Drosophila melanogaster: one gene and its partners. The protein of the gene in region 2 interacts with the protein of the main gene of each other region in a pairwise test. Each region holds a gene or a part of one and is shown on either strand. Other genes may lie near its edges. The genes, in order: IPIP, CG17292 and CG31792.

Evidence for each region.
Region 1: the proteins of CG17292 (region 2) and IPIP interact in a two-hybrid assay, tested with the Drosophila melanogaster proteins (one large-scale study listed by BioGRID).
Region 3: the proteins of CG17292 (region 2) and CG31792 interact in a two-hybrid assay, tested with the Drosophila melanogaster proteins (one large-scale study listed by BioGRID).

Annotation. Positions count from the first base shown.
Region 1 is NT_033779.5:6,045,981-6,051,034, forward strand, and holds IPIP (inositol phosphatase interacting protein), read left to right. Parts: upstream 1-2,021; 5' UTR 2,022-2,129; coding exon of another isoform or gene 2,130-2,663; exon of another isoform or gene 2,664-2,713; 5' UTR 2,714-2,896; coding exon 2,897-2,957; intron 2,958-3,030; coding exon 3,031-3,366; intron 3,367-3,433; coding exon 3,434-3,652; intron 3,653-4,093; coding exon 4,094-4,368; 3' UTR 4,369-4,458; downstream 4,459-5,054. Other genes in the region: slmo (slowmo), read right to left, coding at 1,073-1,720; CG34179 (uncharacterized protein), read right to left, coding at 1,759-1,800, 2,154-2,663.
Region 2 is NT_033779.5:8,368,844-8,374,847, forward strand, and holds CG17292 (uncharacterized protein), read left to right. Parts: upstream 1-1,610; 5' UTR 1,611-1,798; exon of another isoform or gene 1,799-2,404; intron 2,405-3,614; 5' UTR 3,615-3,754; coding exon 3,755-3,782; intron 3,783-3,843; coding exon 3,844-3,910; intron 3,911-4,037; coding exon 4,038-4,445; intron 4,446-4,696; coding exon 4,697-5,071; intron 5,072-5,140; coding exon 5,141-5,285; 3' UTR 5,286-5,407; downstream 5,408-6,004. Other genes in the region: Pp2A-29B (protein phosphatase 2A at 29B), read left to right, coding at 1-187, 380-556, 873-877; Wdr82 (WD repeat domain 82), read left to right, coding at 5,684-6,004.
Region 3 is NT_033779.5:18,995,636-19,003,252, forward strand, and holds CG31792 (uncharacterized protein), read left to right. Parts: upstream 1-1,812; 5' UTR 1,813-1,944; intron 1,945-2,315; 5' UTR 2,316-2,343; coding exon 2,344-2,420; intron 2,421-2,488; coding exon 2,489-2,574; intron 2,575-2,644; coding exon 2,645-2,953; intron 2,954-3,022; coding exon 3,023-3,231; intron 3,232-3,285; coding exon 3,286-4,865; intron 4,866-4,929; coding exon 4,930-5,399; intron 5,400-5,458; coding exon 5,459-5,724; intron 5,725-5,786; coding exon 5,787-6,716; intron 6,717-6,775; coding exon 6,776-6,820; 3' UTR 6,821-7,078; downstream 7,079-7,617. Other genes in the region: CG10650 (uncharacterized protein), read right to left, coding at 1-77, 144-219.

The DNA of each region.
Region 1 (5,054 bases), 2.3 Mb from region 2:
GGTTTCCCCTCATTTCGCGGCTCAATCCACCACAGCGTTCGGTTGGCCAGTGCTGCACAGCGACTGCCGCTGGAATTCAAATTAACCCTTAGGCGAATTGAGCTTTAAAAGCTTTCGTAAATTGTACCCATTGCGTAACTTGCAAGGGTTAATGCTACACGGGTTCAATGAACCAAATAGTTTAATTGTAATTCGTAAGGATTACTTGTTTATTTTGATTAAAAGCTTACGAAAACTGCTAAATAAATAAGTTACTTCTTTTGATAAGTTAGGTAAAAGTATTTCACCTTGTCCCTAGAACACCTGCTGTTTGATCATCAACTTGTTTCCAAGCACCCACTTTCCCCTTCAATCACATTCTTCGCAACTGTTGAACCAGATAAGGGACATATCAGTTTCCATGTCTGCGATGCTAACTAGGTACACAGTTGTTGAGCCACTAGGCACGTGGGCTTTTGATGATAAGCGAATAAAACAGACGCCAAAAATCGCTAATCAAGTATGTATGTAGAGAAAAAACCCACAAATCGACTTTCTTGGGTTTTATTTATACACAGAATGCTTAAAATTGCTGCAGTTGCACATGCGAACGTCATGCAAATGCAAAAAAAAAAGACGCAGTACAAGTGTGCTGCGAATTAAAATTAAACAATTGAACTTGACACTGGCTGGTCGTAGGCAAATATGTCGTTTAATTGCTCCTCTCGTTCTTCGAAATCTGCGGCGGCTTACAAAGCTTACATTGACTATGTACTTTAGGTTTATATATATATTGATCTGCATGAATGGGGGCCAGCATTAGCGCGAGTTCCTTCCAGTTCAGCCATTCGGGGGCACTTCTTTATCGACATGACTCATTAGCAGTCGATTCGTTCGAAGGGGAGTAATAATTATAAAATATATGCATTGAATGGCTTGAGAATAGAGGAAGGTGTTGCTGTCCCACATGTTGCTGTCCATGTCCATCGTGCCATCGATTAATTAGTTGTACTAAAACGACGACCGCGCGCCATCTAAATAATTCACTAGTGAACAGCCCCCGCGCGACCTTGCACTGTCGCCTTGTCGACACCTACGTAATGTGCATCGCCTTCGCCGCCTTGGCGGCCTGCGCACTGATCTCGTCCATGCTCTTCCGCGCGCTCTCCGTCACCTCGTCGATGGAGCGCCGTGTGTTGTGCAGAAGTTCGTCGGTGCCGCGAGCGATGCCCTTGACCTCCGTGTTGATCAGCCCGATCACCCACTCCAGGCCCTGGCGTCCCTTGCCGGCATTTGTGCTAATGGTCGAGGTGAGCAGGTCCTCCATGTAGTGGGACAGCGGCACACCAAAGACGGTCACGGTGGCCTCCTGCTTGAGCAGCGTCTTGCTGGCATCCGACGGATGCGGCTCATAGTAGAGCACCTCGTCCACGCTGATGTTGCGGCAGAAGGTGAGGTTGTTTGTCTTCAGCACCATCTGTTTGCGCTCCGGGTCCACCGTGGAGCGTTCGCTGGCGAAACAAGTTTTGGCCGTGCCGATCAGCGCGTGCGTCCACTTGGGGAAGTACCACTTGGACTGCACCAGGCGATGCGTGTGCAGGACGCCGTCCACCACACGGCGCTCGACCACGTCCGTGCCAATGATGGAGGGCGTCATCGGATTGGGGTACTTGCGCCACGCCGCCTGCGTGACCGTCTCCCACGGGTGGTTGAATATGTGCTCCGATGTCCAGATTTTCATTATGCAAGCGCCGTTGTCGTCACCGTCCGGGGAGGGCTTTATATCCTTAATTGGCAGCCGAGATGCGGGCTGAGCTGAGCCTGCGGGGGCAGACGGAACGGAATTAAACAGGGGGAGCGTTAGCTGAAGTACACGACTCGAATTTTGACGGCAATCTCGGAATTATTGAATATTTCCGAGACAAGTTACGAGAGCTGACCTTTACTCGTGCTGTGCTGCTAGAGATGACAGTGGCTCCGATAGATGGGGCTATCGCTGGCCAGTGCATGGGCTAGGGTGGTCACACTGGCGCAGTAAGAGAAAATGAAAGTGCCGCAGGCACCCTGTAGCGGTAACTTATTTATTAAATTTATAAACTAAATTAATTCTAAAAGTAATGGCGGCACTTTGACATTGCACGTGCAGCTTCCTATTGCGGCCCGAAGGTACGTACGTATTTCTCGTAGGGCCGTTTATCCAATCGCTGTAGTCGGCTCTCCACGAGCTCCCGAAAGTTGTGTATTACCTCGGCATCCGCCTCGATTAGTTTCCTCTCCTCGTTGATGATCTCGGCCAGCTGCTCGTCACTGTCCGCCGCCGCCCGACGTGACACCGAGCCCTCCAGACGAGTGCTGATCTGGTTGACTATCTTCTCGCTCTCGTAGTCCATTATCTTGGCCAGCGCCTTGGCCGGCGTGCGCCGCGCATAGCGTGACTCGGGTATGGTGGGGGCATCCAGGTACGACTCCTCCTGCACCGCCAGCGTGTGCGGCTCCTGCTGTTGCGCGTCTTGCTTCAGCTCCTCATTTGTGTACTCAATGAATTCCTGCAGGGAGGGCTCATCGGGATGCGTTTCGCTGAGCGTGGAGTTGTTTTGAAAATTGGTCAGGTGGAATGTGCCATTGGTGTCGTAGAACTTGTAGCCCAGCATCTCCAGCGCGATTTCCGTGAGTAAGTACGACATTTCGCAGGATTCAAAATTCGTTTATGTTTGCAATCTACATTGAAAACTAGAAATTCCGCACCCAGCAATCGATAACCGGTGGAGGTGTGGCAGCACTGGCCATCAGCTGTTCGCGCAGCGTCAATTGTTTCTCGCTTTGCATTTTTTTTACCTGTTCATCACAATAATAAGAGACGAAAGGCGGAAATAGGACACCCATATTTGCTTCGAATGCAGCCCGAGACAGTGCAGCCATGAAGATCAACGAGAAGAACCTGTACGTGTTCGCGAGAACGCCGCCCTTCGACATGGAAGGTATGCAAGCGAGCCCTTTCGCTCGTCTATTAATAATCATAATCCATTTATCACACACCGATACGCCTTGCAGGCTTCCTCAACAAACGGGGCGAGGTCAACAAGGCCTTCCAGCGACGCTACTTCGTGCTGAAAGGCAACCTGCTCTTCTACTTCGAGTCGCGCTTGGACAAGGAGCCCTTGGGCCTCATCATTGTCGAGGGCTGCACCATTGAGCTGTCTAACGAGGTGGACAACTACTGCTTCGAGATCGCCTTCAACGGCAATCGCACCTACATCCTCGCCGCCGAAAACCAAGACAGCATGGAGACGTGGATGAAGGCGCTAACATGCGCCGGCTACGAGTATAAGCGCATCATCCTGGCCGAGCTAAAACGCCAGTTGCAAGAGATGGAGGACGCAAGAAACAGTGAGACTGCACAATGGCTAATCCTACAATCCCTGTGCACTAATCCGCTGCGTTCTTTAACCTACAGAGATGCTCGGCAGCGCCTTGGACGGACCACAAAATGCATCGGAGAGTGCGAAGCCTAGACCGCCGCCCAGGCGGACAAATCCATTCAACAGACCCGCTCCTCCTCCACCAGACAGTTCGCTGAGGGGCGGAGTAGTCATGTCGCCCCTGCCATTTATCAACGGATACTTCGGATCGAGCAACGCGCGCCTGCAGCAGGAGAAGCTAATGAGCAAGCAAGGTATGAACACGTACTCTTAAAATGGATGTACAATGCTGTGGGTATAGTAATGCAAAAATTAACTGAACGGAAGTGACCAAATTGAAAGACGAAATGAATCACCATGTTCGGGGCTTTGAGTTTTAAAAGCTAATTTTAAGTGGGAAACTTGGCCAATAGATAACCGCAGAACTACAACTTTGCCTAAATACAATCATACGGCATTTTTCGGCCCCAAAGCCAGCTGTTTGTTTGTCCCAATACAATGTGAGTCTACCGTTAGTAGAAGCTAGAGATAAGAGCAGAGTGCTCTCAGTATAATCCGAACTTCGATTGCCAGCTTATCGTTGCCATTTACCCAGAGCCGATCTAATTTAGTCAGCGGAATGCCACTAAGCGACATTCTCTGCAAAATCTGTTGCATATTCCCAAAGCCAGGCTACAGGCACTTTCTACTTGCAGACGCAAACGGAAACGGAAGCCCCAGCGGAACGCCCAGGGCCCAGCGCCGTCCCACGCCCGCTCCTGCCATCGCGAACAGCGTCTTCTATCCCGATGTCCGGGATCCGGGAGCGGCCAACAATAATCACAGCACCGTCAACGGTGCTGAGCGCCAGCGTCGCCAGGTCAAAGCACTGGAGGAGTTCGCACGCAACCACGAGCGCTTTCGCAGGGAACTGATGCCGGATGTGTCCGCTTACCGCGAGCGCCAGGGTCAGCCGCTCATCCAGTTGTGATGTAGGAGTGGGCTGCTCCGACAAAAAGCCAATGTATTACCCGTTTTGTGCTAAATCAAATACGTTTCAAATGAACTATGCTTAATTTCCATACATGTTTGTTTCAATAAACAAAACTTTAGATATAACAAATTTCGGCGATCATGGCGCACTCAGTTATGTGGGCATACTAATAATTGGGTTTTTTAGGTTATTTGTTAGAATTGAAGGACTAAGTTGGTTTTAAAGTTAAACATAATGTTGGGATTACTCAAATGGATAACTTAAAGAAACCTAATTTTTGGATGACAAAGTTCTACATATGAAAGAACAAAACTTTTTTTGTCCAAATGAATAGACCACATATTAATTGTTATTTAGAACATAATATTTTTTAAAAATTCGATAGACACAAAACCCAGTGTGAACGGCGAAAATAATCGATAACTGCTAAGAAAACAAAAACATCGACGTTGGTTGCTTTGTGGAAACATCGATAATCGCGAGCAGCCATCGATACATGTTCCAGCTCTGTAACCTAGCGTTGTTGTTTGTAATTTAGCTGTGAAAAGTAATTAAGCCGCACACAGAACTGTAAGTTCACCCGCTAGATAAATATATTTGAGTAAAAGAACACAACCCGAAATGGTTAAAAGACTGCAAGAAGTCAGCAAACTTATTTGATTCGTTGAAGCCGTGAAATGTCT
Region 2 (6,004 bases):
CTGCTTGCCGCTGATCCCGTTGCCAATGTTCGTTTCAACGTGGCAAAGACCCTGCAGAAGATCTCGCCCTTCCTGGAGGCCAGCGTCATTGATGCCCAAGTAAAGCCCACACTCGACAAACTGAACACAGACACAGATGTGGATGTCAAGCATTTTGCTGCACAGGCCATTGCCGGCATAGCTGCAGGTAAGCAATAAACAGTCTAATATAAACAAGGTTAGCGTTTGACAGGGATAGAAAGGGTCTAACTTATAGAACAATATATAACATTATTCATTATCACAAGTTTTAAGGCATGCAGGGAATCTGAGAGTTACACAAATTCATAAATTGTCAGTTAGTAGTAAGACTTTAATTTTAATTAAAATCCTGCCATAGAAATGGAACTGAATGTGTTTAGAACGGCAATACCGCCGTGCATGGGCGCCAAAATTGAGGCGGCAATGGACTCAAAGCTGATAGTGGAACCGCCCCGACAGCCGGAGGCAGCTGACAATGACATTTTGCAGGAGATGAATGGCAAGGCAGCGGAGCCGCCCACGCTTGACTCGGAATGTTAGAGGATGAGTAGCCAACCACATGACGTGTGATGTGCCTCCCGCTGTCTCCAGCCAGTTCCACAAGCCAATGTGTTTAATCCTCCCCGTCATAATCGTATTCACATTTGATTGTTTGTTTGTTCAAGATAACCAGGCTAGATGTCCGATCTGATTAAAGTGCGAGTGCAGTGGATCAAATATTTAACCGATACTAATGTTGTGCCATATTTTTTTGTCTCTTTCCCGGTATCATCGCCATCACCACGTGGTTATCTCACCATTCCCCACTCTGTGTTCGTCTGCAATAATGTGTTTTGTATATTTGTTTATAGCGTAATCAACCTTCTTGCATCTTTTTTTATTCTATTTTTAAAACTGTATGTATTTAACGCCGGCAACAAAACATATTATGTAGCAACAACACTTAAGAACGGAAAATTGTAGTGGATCCCGGAAGGTGTTAAACGCTGCAGCCGATGCTGGATGAGGGATGAATGGAGCCAGGAGTCAGAGGAAGGAGAGAATCGGAGAATCAGCATGGGAGGAGACCCACTAAACGCGACACACAACTAAACATTACTACTTACATACTTATATTATATATAAATTACCATAGGCATAACGATCATTATTAAAAACATTTGTAGAGTTTGGAACATTTGATCGCATCTGAATGCAAAAATAAAATTGTAGTGAAACAATATCACACGATCTATTGAAAAGTTTAATGTGGAGCAAAATTGAATATTTAACTCCCAAAATTGTATACCAATTTCTAGGTTTCAGTTGTCAGTTCAAAGTTTGGAAATGTAATATTTTCCTTTTTATAGTTTCGTTCAAATTAAGCTTTATATACATTCTGATTATTTGGCAGGTGCATTGATTATTTATAATTTGTGAGAGGTATGGCTATGAAAAGCATAGATTATACAAACAAAATACTTGTATTTTTACATTTTAAAAATACTGTTAATTTATTTTGAAATCCTAAAATCATTCCAGCAGTAAACGATTTTGATAGCAAGCTAGACTGATATCGATAGGCGCCAAACAGACACCTGGCGATAGTTGGGGCTTCTTTTTGGTTTTTTAATTGGATGATGGTGGTGGTGGTGGTGGTGGTGGCGAGCAGTTTCTAGCGAGAGATCAGTTGGACTTTTGCGACGAAGCGATACGCTTGTTTGTTTTGCCGTTCCGCTGCGCGTTGGCCAATGTTTGCCTAACTCTCGAATCGAATTCCGAAACCGAGTGTGGACGCGTAAGTGCCATTGAATTATTCCGTCTGACGCTCGAGCGCCATCGAATCGGATGCGGCGTGGAATGTGGTGGAGTCAATGGGGGGATCAGATGCAAATTTGATTGGGCAAATGGGTGGAACCAATCAATTGTGTGTATACAATAAAACGAGGTGTTTGTGTGTGCCCAACCAAACACAGCCAAATGCGGAACATTATCAGTTTACCCACGGCTGTCGCAATCTCCGCGTCCGTTTACCGTCCACTGACCTACGATCCACCTGCCCCCGTGGACGCAACAAGTGTCCGAATATTTATAGTCTATGGGCTCTATGCATTAATTACTCGCATATGTCAAAAACGCTGAGCTGTTATTACAATTAGTGCTTCATTATTTAGCCCGATTTCCCCAAGTGGCGCGTTTCGCTAAGCGTTATTATTTTTACCTTCCGCTAAACACTTGGCGCCGATTCGATTCCCTCCTTACCCTCGAAACCAGTGATACTCCATCGTGCGACTGAGCATTATCTGACGGCTAATTTTCCCCCGATAAGCCGGAATATAAATTGAAGTGCTCTTTATTTATGTCCGCGATACAACGGCGAAATCGAGGCAAAAAAAGAAGGCCGGTACTTAAATTACCATTGCGTTGGGCAGGCAACGAGGGTCAGGGGTCTTCCATTTCGACATATATCTATGTACACATTTATAAGCATTTCTACAGTCCAACTTCCCTCAGTTAGATATGTTATGATTAGGAGGTTGACAAGAATAATAGTTGCAATATTAATTTATTAGTTTATACAAGAAAGTTTTGAGATTTCATAATCTCATTGAAGTATTTATATATTTTATTTTAAAAAGTATTTGTATTTGCTTGTGTTCTGCATTGTACTTTGTACTTTAACAATGTATGCTTAAACTGAAACACCACTTTCTAATTTAATTCAGTCCGAAAACAAATATATTCCAAGCTAAACTTTAACTTTTGTTCCCACTTAGGGACGTTGGACTGTAGCTTACAAGTGTGTTTGAATGGCATTGCTGTAATTTCAAGTCTGCATATTTAAGCACTGTAGTTTGTTCACTTAGACCTCGGGTTAAGGTAATCTCTGGCAATAGACAGTGGGCCCTGTAGCTGGTTGAACTGTCAAACATTTCACTTTTTTTATGATAGCCATATTACTAAGGTCAAAGTTACAGGGTCCGCCCATAAAAAGACTATTACTTTTTAAAAGTTAATTTTAGTGATAATAAAATGCACTTAAATAGCTAGTAAAACTGTACTTAAATAAACATGCTGTATTAGTCTATATATAATTAAACCCATCATATTAATGGATCAATAATAGTTACGGCGATCTTTAAGTTTGTAACTTTCAACGGGAAAACTTTGTAATTATTCAGCTCACTCCTGTTGAGGAAACTCATTATGTTGCAATTTTAATTGATCGTGGTGATTTGGAAATAAGTAGACTGGCTGGCGACAAAGCTTTTATTTTTATGGCATTCATTCAATCACCATTGAATTAGTCCTCAAGTGCATAATGGGATTAGCGTTCGATTAAACTTGTTCAGCCGATAGAAGTGGATGAATAATAATGCGGAGATTTGGAATGTTCCGAAATCGGATGTTCCACCGTAGGAGCACATGAATGATGCATGGACAGGCAAAGGCTTGGACTCCCACACGGACTTTGCCGCCGTTGGGGCGGCACACTCGTGTGAATCACGATGCTTACGATGTCGCAAGGCTTTTTTTGGCCGAACTCACCATTACTATCTTATCCGAAAAAGATTGAAATTTAATTAGAGTTATCAATTTCAATGGGGGTTTAGGCCACGCCACATTAATCCGGCCAACCGAGTGCCCGGCCCAGTCTTTGCCAATCACCGCATGGGACCAGAGGATATCCGGACAATCCACTGGCCACGTAATCAATCACTTTATGGACTAATAGCCGACAGCCCACAGAAACATGCACAAGGCCATTAAAAACAAATCCAGTAAGTAAGTGTGCGAAAATGGAAAATTCCGCTAATACAATTTGGATAATTATTAAACCAGGGCTCCTCTGCGGACTCAAGAACTCCAAGGCGGATCTAACGACAGCCAAGTTTATACTATATTATGGGTAAGAACTAATATTATTATTAGTAAATATGAAGAAAAATTATACATAAAGCCATGTTATTGCACTAATATCCAAATTTCTTAAATATATTCAAGTATTCACCTATAGCATTATCTTTTATTCACAGACCCACGGTGGCAGATAGCGATATCTATGACCTAACCGATTTCCAGAGTCTTCTGGAGGACGAGCACTTGGATTTGGGCAAGAACACCGTGCTCTATTTGCACGGCTACTTGGAAGATCCGGATGTGGAGAGCATTCACGTCATAGCCGAGGCCTATCTGGAGCGAAAGGATACCAATCTTATCGTCCTAGACTGGGGTGAACTGGCCGATGGCAATTACATGTTCGATGCCTTCCCGAACCTCAAACAGCTGGGCCCAGAGTTGGCCAAGGTCCTGCTCAAAATGTTCGACCATGGCCTGGACATTGAGAAGTTCCACATTGTCGGACACTCGATGGGCGGCCAGCTGGCCGGACTCCTCGGCCGAGAGATTACTAAACGCACCAAGGGTGTCAGAAAGATAAAAAGGTAAAATGAAAGAGGTTTGATTTCAAATTATTTATTCATGCTCGGTTCGATTTTAGTCTATGCCGACGTCATGATATACGATGTTTAATATACGATATTTAGTTAATAATTTTAATGTCCAAAGCTTAACACTTTTGTATTACCATATGGTAATACAAAAAGTTTTTTTTTAGAATCGTTGTTCGGCAAAGTTTATAAAGTTTATATTGAATCCTTTTCTTGTCTCACTTATCTCCAATCTTCTTTTATAGAATTTCCGCTTTGGATCCCGCATTTCCGCTCTTCTATCCGGGCACGCACCTGTCTGCCAATGATGCGGAGTTCGTCGACGTGATACACACGGACGCCTGGCTGTACGGAGCTCCGACGAGCACGGGCACGGCGGATTTCTGGCCAAATGGTGGATACAGCCTGCAGCCTGGCTGTCCCAAGCGAAACTACAAGATGCTCAGCGACAACGATCTGTCCAGTCATCGGAGGAGCTGGTGGTTCTGGGCCGAGAGCGTTTCGGATCGATATCCCATTGGATTCGATGCTGTGCCCGCCAAGAAATGGTCGGACTTCAAGCAGAACAAAATAGTAGAGAATTGCCCGCCCGTGGTGATGGGTCATCATTGTCCCACGACGTAAGTTTCTACTTGCCTTATATGCATAGCGCAGAATTTAGTTTCATCATTTGAAATTGTGATTTTCAGAATTCATGGCGACTTTTACTTACAAACCAACGGACATACACCTTTTGCTCGAGGCAAGGAGGGCACTGTCTACGTTGACCCCAAGGATCTGCTGGGAAATACCCACAGCATCACCTGTGACTGCCCGTCGGAGAAAACGAATTAATAAGACCATCTACAATTGCACTGTGTACATTATGAAATGTAGCTATATTAATATTGTTGTTTCTATGACGCCTTACACCACATTTTGATTTACGAGAAAAATATACTTAAATTTTGTTGTTGAAAAAAACTTTGCATTACTTTGGGGTATTTATACATTATTATTGCACTATTTGGGGTTTTAAATGAGTTTTATTAATTACTTTTTTTGAATGGATTTTTTGAACTTTCAAATAATTTAAATCTGGTTGCTGGTTCCGCTCTTGCAATTCATTCCGGAACCAGTTCGAAAGTTGCGATATCGATAACACAGCTATCGACCCGTCAACCTCTGCCACCGATAACATTGTTTGCAACAATTGAGCATATTGACAACAAAACGAAATTCGACAGGCTAAAATGAAGATAAAACTAATAGATTCGGTGGTGCGCAGTTTTAAGGTGGCCAAGATCTTCCGAGAGAACACGGACAAGATCAACGCCATCGATTTTGCGCCCAACGGCGAACATCTAATATCCTGCAGCGAGGATGACCAGATCGTGATCTACGACTGCGAAAAGGGGACGCAGTCGCGCACGGTGAACTCGAAGAAGTATGGAGTGGATTTAATCCACTTTACGCACGCCAACAACACGGCCATCCATAGCTCCACCAAGGTGGACGACACCATACGCTATCTCAGCCTGCACGACAACAAATATCTGCGCTACTTCCCCGGC
Region 3 (7,617 bases), about 11 Mb from region 2:
CTCTATAGAAGTTTGAGTAGATGGACTCGTTAAACAATTTCCAGTGTCATTCGTCGTCGATGTGCACGAATAGCACTCTGCAATGGCAATAATAATTTGAAGTAAGTCATTTGAAAAAACTCATCCAAAATGTGGTAACCTACGGAGGGCTGAGGTGCTGTCCAGCTGGCTGGCAATGAAAGCTGCTATCACAATCATACACAGGCTGTATTCTCTCATGGCTCTCGGTTTTCTATTCTTTCTGGCTTCTCAACTGAAATGTCGGACCGGCTGGATCGACCACCGTTTTTTAACTGGCTCCCTCACTGTTTGGCCATATTTTTTTTACCCCCATTCGCATAATCAATTTCACCTGAACTCACTAACACCTGCCAAGCTCTTCTCCGCATGCAGTGGTTATCTGCTCTACACACATATATATGTTTGTATACATATATATATATATATATATATATATGTACAATCGGAGGAAGTCAGTTCTCTTTTAGCTGATAACTTCAATACCCAGGTGTAAATGTGCAAGTGTGTGTGTGTACAACGCTGTTCACATGCGATGATAGTTACCACAAGCCTGCATTTACTTTGGAGCTTTTGCAAAAGCTGAAAAATTAACCCATGCTGCCAACGTTCTTACCGTATTTCCTTAAACGAATATACATCAACAGTAACTTCCTGTTTCCGATCTAGCCGGCGGATAATTGAACACAATTATAACGATAATTAAATACTTTAATTAAAATTTGGTTTGCCTTGGCTGTACGGCAGTTATATGATATATTTTCTTTTGATTTTCATCAAATTAAAATATGGTCAAAAACTGTTGTATATCTCATACATATATTAATACTTACCATTATTTTTCGATTATCCCTATAACAGCAATATGATATAGTGGTCCAACCTATATGTATACTAACTGAAATTGAACGAAGACAAACATGACTGTATCGACTCTACTGTTGAATATACGAATCTGAATGAAATCAATGTACCATTTGCAAGGGTATAAAAATAAAAGGCGCCACCAAAAACTGCATGAATAATCTCAATTTCCAGATTTTACAGGTTCGACAAACTTTCCATTTGATTATGGATTGACTATAGTTCCATTGATAAAAAAAATAATGTAATTTGAACTAACAAGAAAGAACTCAATTCCTATCAGATACCCAGATTTAATTGAATAAATACACATTTGTAGGGTCAAAAACACTTTCTTGTTTCATAGTTTTTAACCCTTATATTCTACGAGGAAAGTGTACAATTATATATGTAAAGCTGTATTGCCCAATTTTCTGGCTAATAACATATAAACAATGTGCCTTAACTACAAGTCATATATCTTAACGATACTTGAGGATTGAAGTGAGACTTTTGTTTATATGTGAACGTTCGTTCTCAAGTTTATAATTTCGGTTACTCGTTCTTGAACTTATGTGTTTGCTTTTAAGTTTTTTTTTTTTTTATCGTTCGTTCCTAATTTAATATCGAAACTTAATTTTTCTCTCAGTGTCTTAATAAAAATTATTATTATTTATTGTATTTGGGCGACTTCTTAAATTCTGCACATGCCGGTGTTTTATGTTATTAAGGTTTAAGTTGAAGTCTAGACAAAATGATTCAATAAAACAAAGTACAAATAGTAAGTACATACTTTTATATCTTTTTATCTTTAGCATATCATTTAAGGTTTTTTTGAACCAGACTGGTATTCAACATAAAGCCATTATCTTCAAAAAATATAACCGAAATCTAATCTGGGTTATCTCCGGCGAATTTAGCACCGAGAGCTAATCATGTTGCTCACACTCAGTACCTTTAAGATCTTTTCTACGCGCGGACGTATTGCTGTTTAGTTGAATTTCTGGCATTGCAATTTAATAAATTAGTTCGTTGGAAAGCATGTTATACGTTGAAAAGTGCAAGTGACTTCAAGCCTAGAAGGTATAAATATTTTTGATCATTCGATCCGACTATGTCTGTCCATATAAGCGTCGAGATCTCGGAAACCTACGTCAACAAATTACAAAAAGCTTTAGATTCTTGGTAACGACTTCTTTGCAGAAGACCAAAAATGCTGGTCATTATATTATAGTAGAAGTTCAAGATTTTAAAGTGCCAGTGACGTTGAAGGCGTGTGGAATAAATTTTACCTGAGTAGCAGGTATCTGATAGTCGGGTAGCTCGACAATCGTATTCTGTCCCATTTTAGACAAGCTGTTTAATGGCTAATTACTTATTGATTAGAAAATCATTAATTCAAATTTATTTCTTGCTGTCTGGATTGTTTCACTTGCATAATATTTGTTATGTAGCGAAACATAACGTAGTAATCGTAATAAAATGCAGTCCTTTAAGAATGAAGATCTCCCGGAGAATCCTCGAGAACGATCGAATATTTTTTCTGCGTTATCCTTTTGGTAAGATAGTGCAAACGTGCGACGCCAACATATTTTTCAAGTGTGAACAATTTTTTCAAATAATTCAGGTATACCATTCCCACTTTTATTAAGGGGCAAAAGGTCACATTGGGTGCAAAGGACCTTTACAGGGCCTTGAAAGAGCATAGGGCCGGTAAGTGTTTTTGGTGTATATATAATAATATTTTCATATATACATCCTCATATCTCTATTTTGTGCAAAGAGTCGCTCGGCAACAAATTATGCTCTTCCTGGGCGAATGAACTGGAGACCAACAAGAAGAACGCCAGTTTGCTCAGAGTACTCTTTCGTGTTTTTGGTCGGTACTTCGTCTTCCTCGGATTGGTTCTCTTCTGCCTGGAGGTTATACTCACGGTGCAGCCCATGTTTCTCATGAAGCTTATATCCAGCTTTTCCAATCCTAGCCCAACATCCAATGGAGTGGCATATGCCTACGCGGGCGGAGTGATTTTAGGCTCTGCACTCAAAGTGATCCTTATGAACCCGTACTCATTCGCCGTGACTCACCTGGGTGTGTTCCTTACTTATTGATGTTGCTCAAAGCGTTTTGTAAATTAGTTTTCTAATCCGTAAACTGCAGGCCTTAAGATTCGAGTGGGTGTGAGCAGCATGATCTACCGGAAATGCCTTCGATTGACCAAAACAGACCTGGGCGAAATATCTACCGGACATATAATCAATTTAATTTCCAATGACCTTGGCAGAATGGACACCTTTATTCAGTTTACCCACTATCTTTGGTTGGCCCCACTGCAAGCGCTAATGGTAACCTATTTGATGTACCAAGAGGTGGGGTCCGAGAAATTCATATGGGATATGTAAAAACCTTAGTTTGTTTAATAGATTGGAATCGCTGCCGTGTTTGGCATGACCTTTATACTGCTCTTCATACCCCTTCAAATGTATTTGGGCAAAAAGATCTCTGGGCTGCGACTGAAGACAGCTATCCGGTCGGACAAACGGATGCGGATAATGACCGAGATCATCGCTGGCATTCAGGTGATTAAAATGTACGCTTGGGAGCTGCCGTTTGAGAAAATGGTGGCCCATGCCCGCCACAAGGAGATCAACTCCATCCGGCACGTGGCCTATGCGAAATGCCTCATTTGGTCCTTCAACAGATTCCTGACTCCAGTATCCATATTCCTGAGTTTGGTAGGATTTGTGCTAATGGGCAGGTTCCTTACAGCGGAAGTGGCCTTTCTCATCACAGCCTATTACAATGTTGTACGCACCAACATGACAGCATATTTTTCAGTGGGTGTGACGCAAACTGCAGAAACCCTCGTGTCCATTAAGCGGGTTCAGAAGCTTTTGCTATCCGGCGAGGTAGTGGCGAAGGATGAAAATGTAGTTTCCAACGGGGCTGAGGAAGATCTTCAGGAGGCCAGGGAAAAACTCTTAGTGACTCCCACACCAATGCGTGCTCCCGAGAAGCCTCCACACAATTCGGAAGATTGCGTATCCATAAGTGAACTAAAAGCCAAGTGGACCACGAACTCGCCCGATTACACGCTAAGTGGGGTAAATCTGCAGGTCCACGCTGGTGCATTGGTCGCCATTGTGGGTCACACCGGCTCCGGAAAATCCAGTCTGATACAAGCCATTTTGGGTGAACTGCGTGTCGAGTCGGGAGAGATCGAGGTTACTGGATCGATGTCATATGCCTCGCAAGAGCCGTGGCTTTTCTCCGGCACCGTGCGTCAGAATATTCTTTTTGGTCAGCCAATGGATCGTCGGCGATACGATTTAGTGGTGAGGAAATGCGCGTTGGAACGAGATTTTGAGCTACTTCCCTTGAAGGATAAAACCATATTGGGAGATCGCGGAGCATCGCTCTCGGGTGGCCAAAAGGCGAGAATCAGCTTGGCAAGATCTGTTTATCGGGATGCGTCCATCTATCTGCTGGATGATCCTCTGAGTGCCGTAGACTCCAGCGTGGCCCGTCGACTCTTCGAAGAGTGCTTGCGTGGCCATCTGCGAGATAAGATTGTCATCCTGGTCACCCATCAGTTGCAGTTCCTGCAGCAGGCCGACCAGATTGTGATCATGGAAATGGGCAAGGTAAAGGCTGTGGGAACGTATGAGTCGCTTCACAAATCGGGTTTAGACTTTGGCATCGTGCTGGATGATCCTGTCAATGACAATGAGGCGGCGGAGGACCGATCAAGAACCTCCAGTATCACGGACCAACGGCGCAGCAGTGTGAAATCTGTACTCTCCCATGCGGAATCCTGTCCAGAGGATGTAGGGGAGGAACAAAAGATTAACCTACAGCGGCAGCAACTGGGTCGCAACGGCTTAGGAGTGTACGTCGATTATTTTAGGGCAGGAGGCGGATTCCTCTCCTTTTCTGTGGTAATGACCTTTTTCGTGTGCTCCCAGGGCCTAGCCTCTCTTGGAGATTACTTTCTGTCCCCATGGTAAGGTGTCGTTTACTTTGTCACTTTCGAAATCATTTAAAATTCGTAATCCCTATGCTTTTAGGGTCTCAAGAAATGAGAAAATGGTAGCTCATAACTACACAACAGATGCTAAGGATGCGGACTTCGAAATGCACGCTGCGTACATATATATGTTGATTACAGTGCTATCCATTATGGTGACCATAAAACGATCCTTTCTGTTCTTCAACTTGGCAATGAGGGCCTCTATCCAGTTGCATAACTCAATGTTTCGAGGGATCTCCAGAGCTTCCATGTACTTTTTCAACAAGAACCCTGCGGGAAGTATCCTTAATCGGTTCTCTAAGGACATGGGTCAAGTGGATGAGATGCTGCCCACCATAATAATGACCGTCATCCAAGACTTTCTCCTGTTTGGCGGCAATATTATTGTCATAGCCATTGTCAATCCCCTCTTTCTCATACCAGCACTGGCTTTTGGAATAGTTATATACTACCTGCGTTCCTTTTATCTCAAAACTTCGCTGGATGTAAAACGCTTGGAGGCCAGTAGTAAGTGCCTAATGACCAACTAATTACCACTTGGCTAAAACTTTCTTAACTTTTGACAGCTCGATCTCCGGTTTACTCACATTTCGCTGCTTCTCTTAATGGCCTTTCCACCATTCGTGCATTTGGGGCCGGAAGCATTCTGGAGGCGGAATTCGATGGCTACCAAGATATGCACAGTTCCGCCTCCTACATGTTCATTAGCACCTCGCGAGCCTTCGCCTATTGGATGGATATATTCTGTGTGCTCTTTATAGCGATGATCACGCTGTCCTTCTTCATCTTTCCACCATCTAGTGCAGCCGATGTTGGCCTGGCTATAACACAGGTATACGACCGGAAGCACATTCACATATGTCTGATTTTTAATATAATTTCCATTTATTCAAGGCCATGGGCTTGACGGGCACGGTTCAGTGGACTGTCCGCCAGTCGGCAGAGTTGGAAAACACAATGATTTCCGTGGAGCGGATGATTGAATACGAGGAAATAGAGCCAGAGGGACCACTGGAAGCCACGGCTGACAAAAAACCACATGAATCTTGGCCAGAGCAAGGAAAAATAGAATTTGTAGAGCTGAGTCTGCGTTACGAGCCGTATCTGAAATCGGAAAGCGTTCTAAAGTCCCTCAGTTTTGTAATAAAGCCCAAGGAAAAGGTTGGCATCGTGGGACGAACCGGAGCCGGCAAATCCTCGCTGATTAACGCTCTATTCCGCCTGTCCTACAACGATGGATCTGTGCGCATAGACGATAAGGATACCAATGATATGGGTCTACATGACCTGCGCAGCAAGATCTCAATCATACCCCAGGAACCAGTTCTGTTCTCCGGCACAGTGCGACACAACTTGGATCCCTTCGACGAGTATAGCGATGACAGGCTGTGGTGCGCGCTGGAGGAGGTGGAACTCAAGGATGTGGTGGCCAGTGTGGCCACTGGCCTGGAGACCAAAATCACAGAGGGTGGCTCCAACTTTAGCGTGGGCCAGCGCCAATTGGTGTGCCTGGCACGAGCTATTCTGCGCGACAACAGAATACTTGTGATGGACGAGGCGACGGCCAATGTGGATCCCCAGACGGACGCTCTGATCCAAGCCACAATTCGAAACAAGTTCAGGGAGTGCACCGTCCTTACCGTGGCCCATAGATTGCACACCATCATGGACTCGGACCGTGTACTGGTGATGGATGCTGGAAGAGTTGTGGAATTCGGGACGCCCTATGAGCTTTTAACTGCCGATGATACTAATGCCTTCCAAGACCTGGTCAAGCAGACGGGTCAGGCAACATACGACACTCTCCTGAAGATTTCTCAACGGGTAAGAGTAGGCATCTGTAAACGAATTCATACATATATTTATAAAATTTCCTTTTTTAGGAATTCGAAAAATCTGAAAAACCGAGCCTTATGCTTCCCTCTTGACGAGCCGAAATCGCTAATGAATAATTAATATCTCCCCAATATTACTCCATTGAAGCTTTCACACTTTCAGTTCGGAAATTGATTTTTTGCACATTAAATATATATAAAAACCCTATTGTTTTGATCATAGCTGCAATATTGGAATACGTTATAGAAATTATATTTATTAGATGTGTACATGAGTACGTGTTATCACAGCTGACAGGCGCGATAAGGACAAGAGTAGTACTTGTAGACTTAATGAGGTTTTCCTCATTTAGTGATATGATGAATAAGATATCTATGGAATTTCCATTTGTGGTGGGGCAAGCTTAGAAAGCCAATCATTTAAATTGAAAATAATTTATTGCACTAAACTTCAAGAGAATAGGTAAAAATGTATTGCTGATACACCTGGAAGGTGCAACCGTTGTCAATATAATATTAATAAAATTTCTAGATAGTAGAATGTGATATCTAAATTGAAGTCGATACATAAAAAGATAAATAAACAAAGTAATTACACTTTATTACATGACTAATGACATATCGGTCCGAACTCCACCCTAATGTTTCAAAAAGGTGCCTAAAATTAAATTTTTTTTAATTTAGCAAACATGAATTACATTAGTATAAATAATATGTAATACTATATTTTTATTTAAAATATAATACATTTTCAACACAATAAATACAATAGCATAGGACAGTGTAAAAAGGGCTACGATAGGATGGGAAATAAATTAGAAAGCCGTTATCTTATCTTTGAGTGGTCCACTCTAATGCTCTGAAGGCTGAAGTGACCATGTAAGTAAACA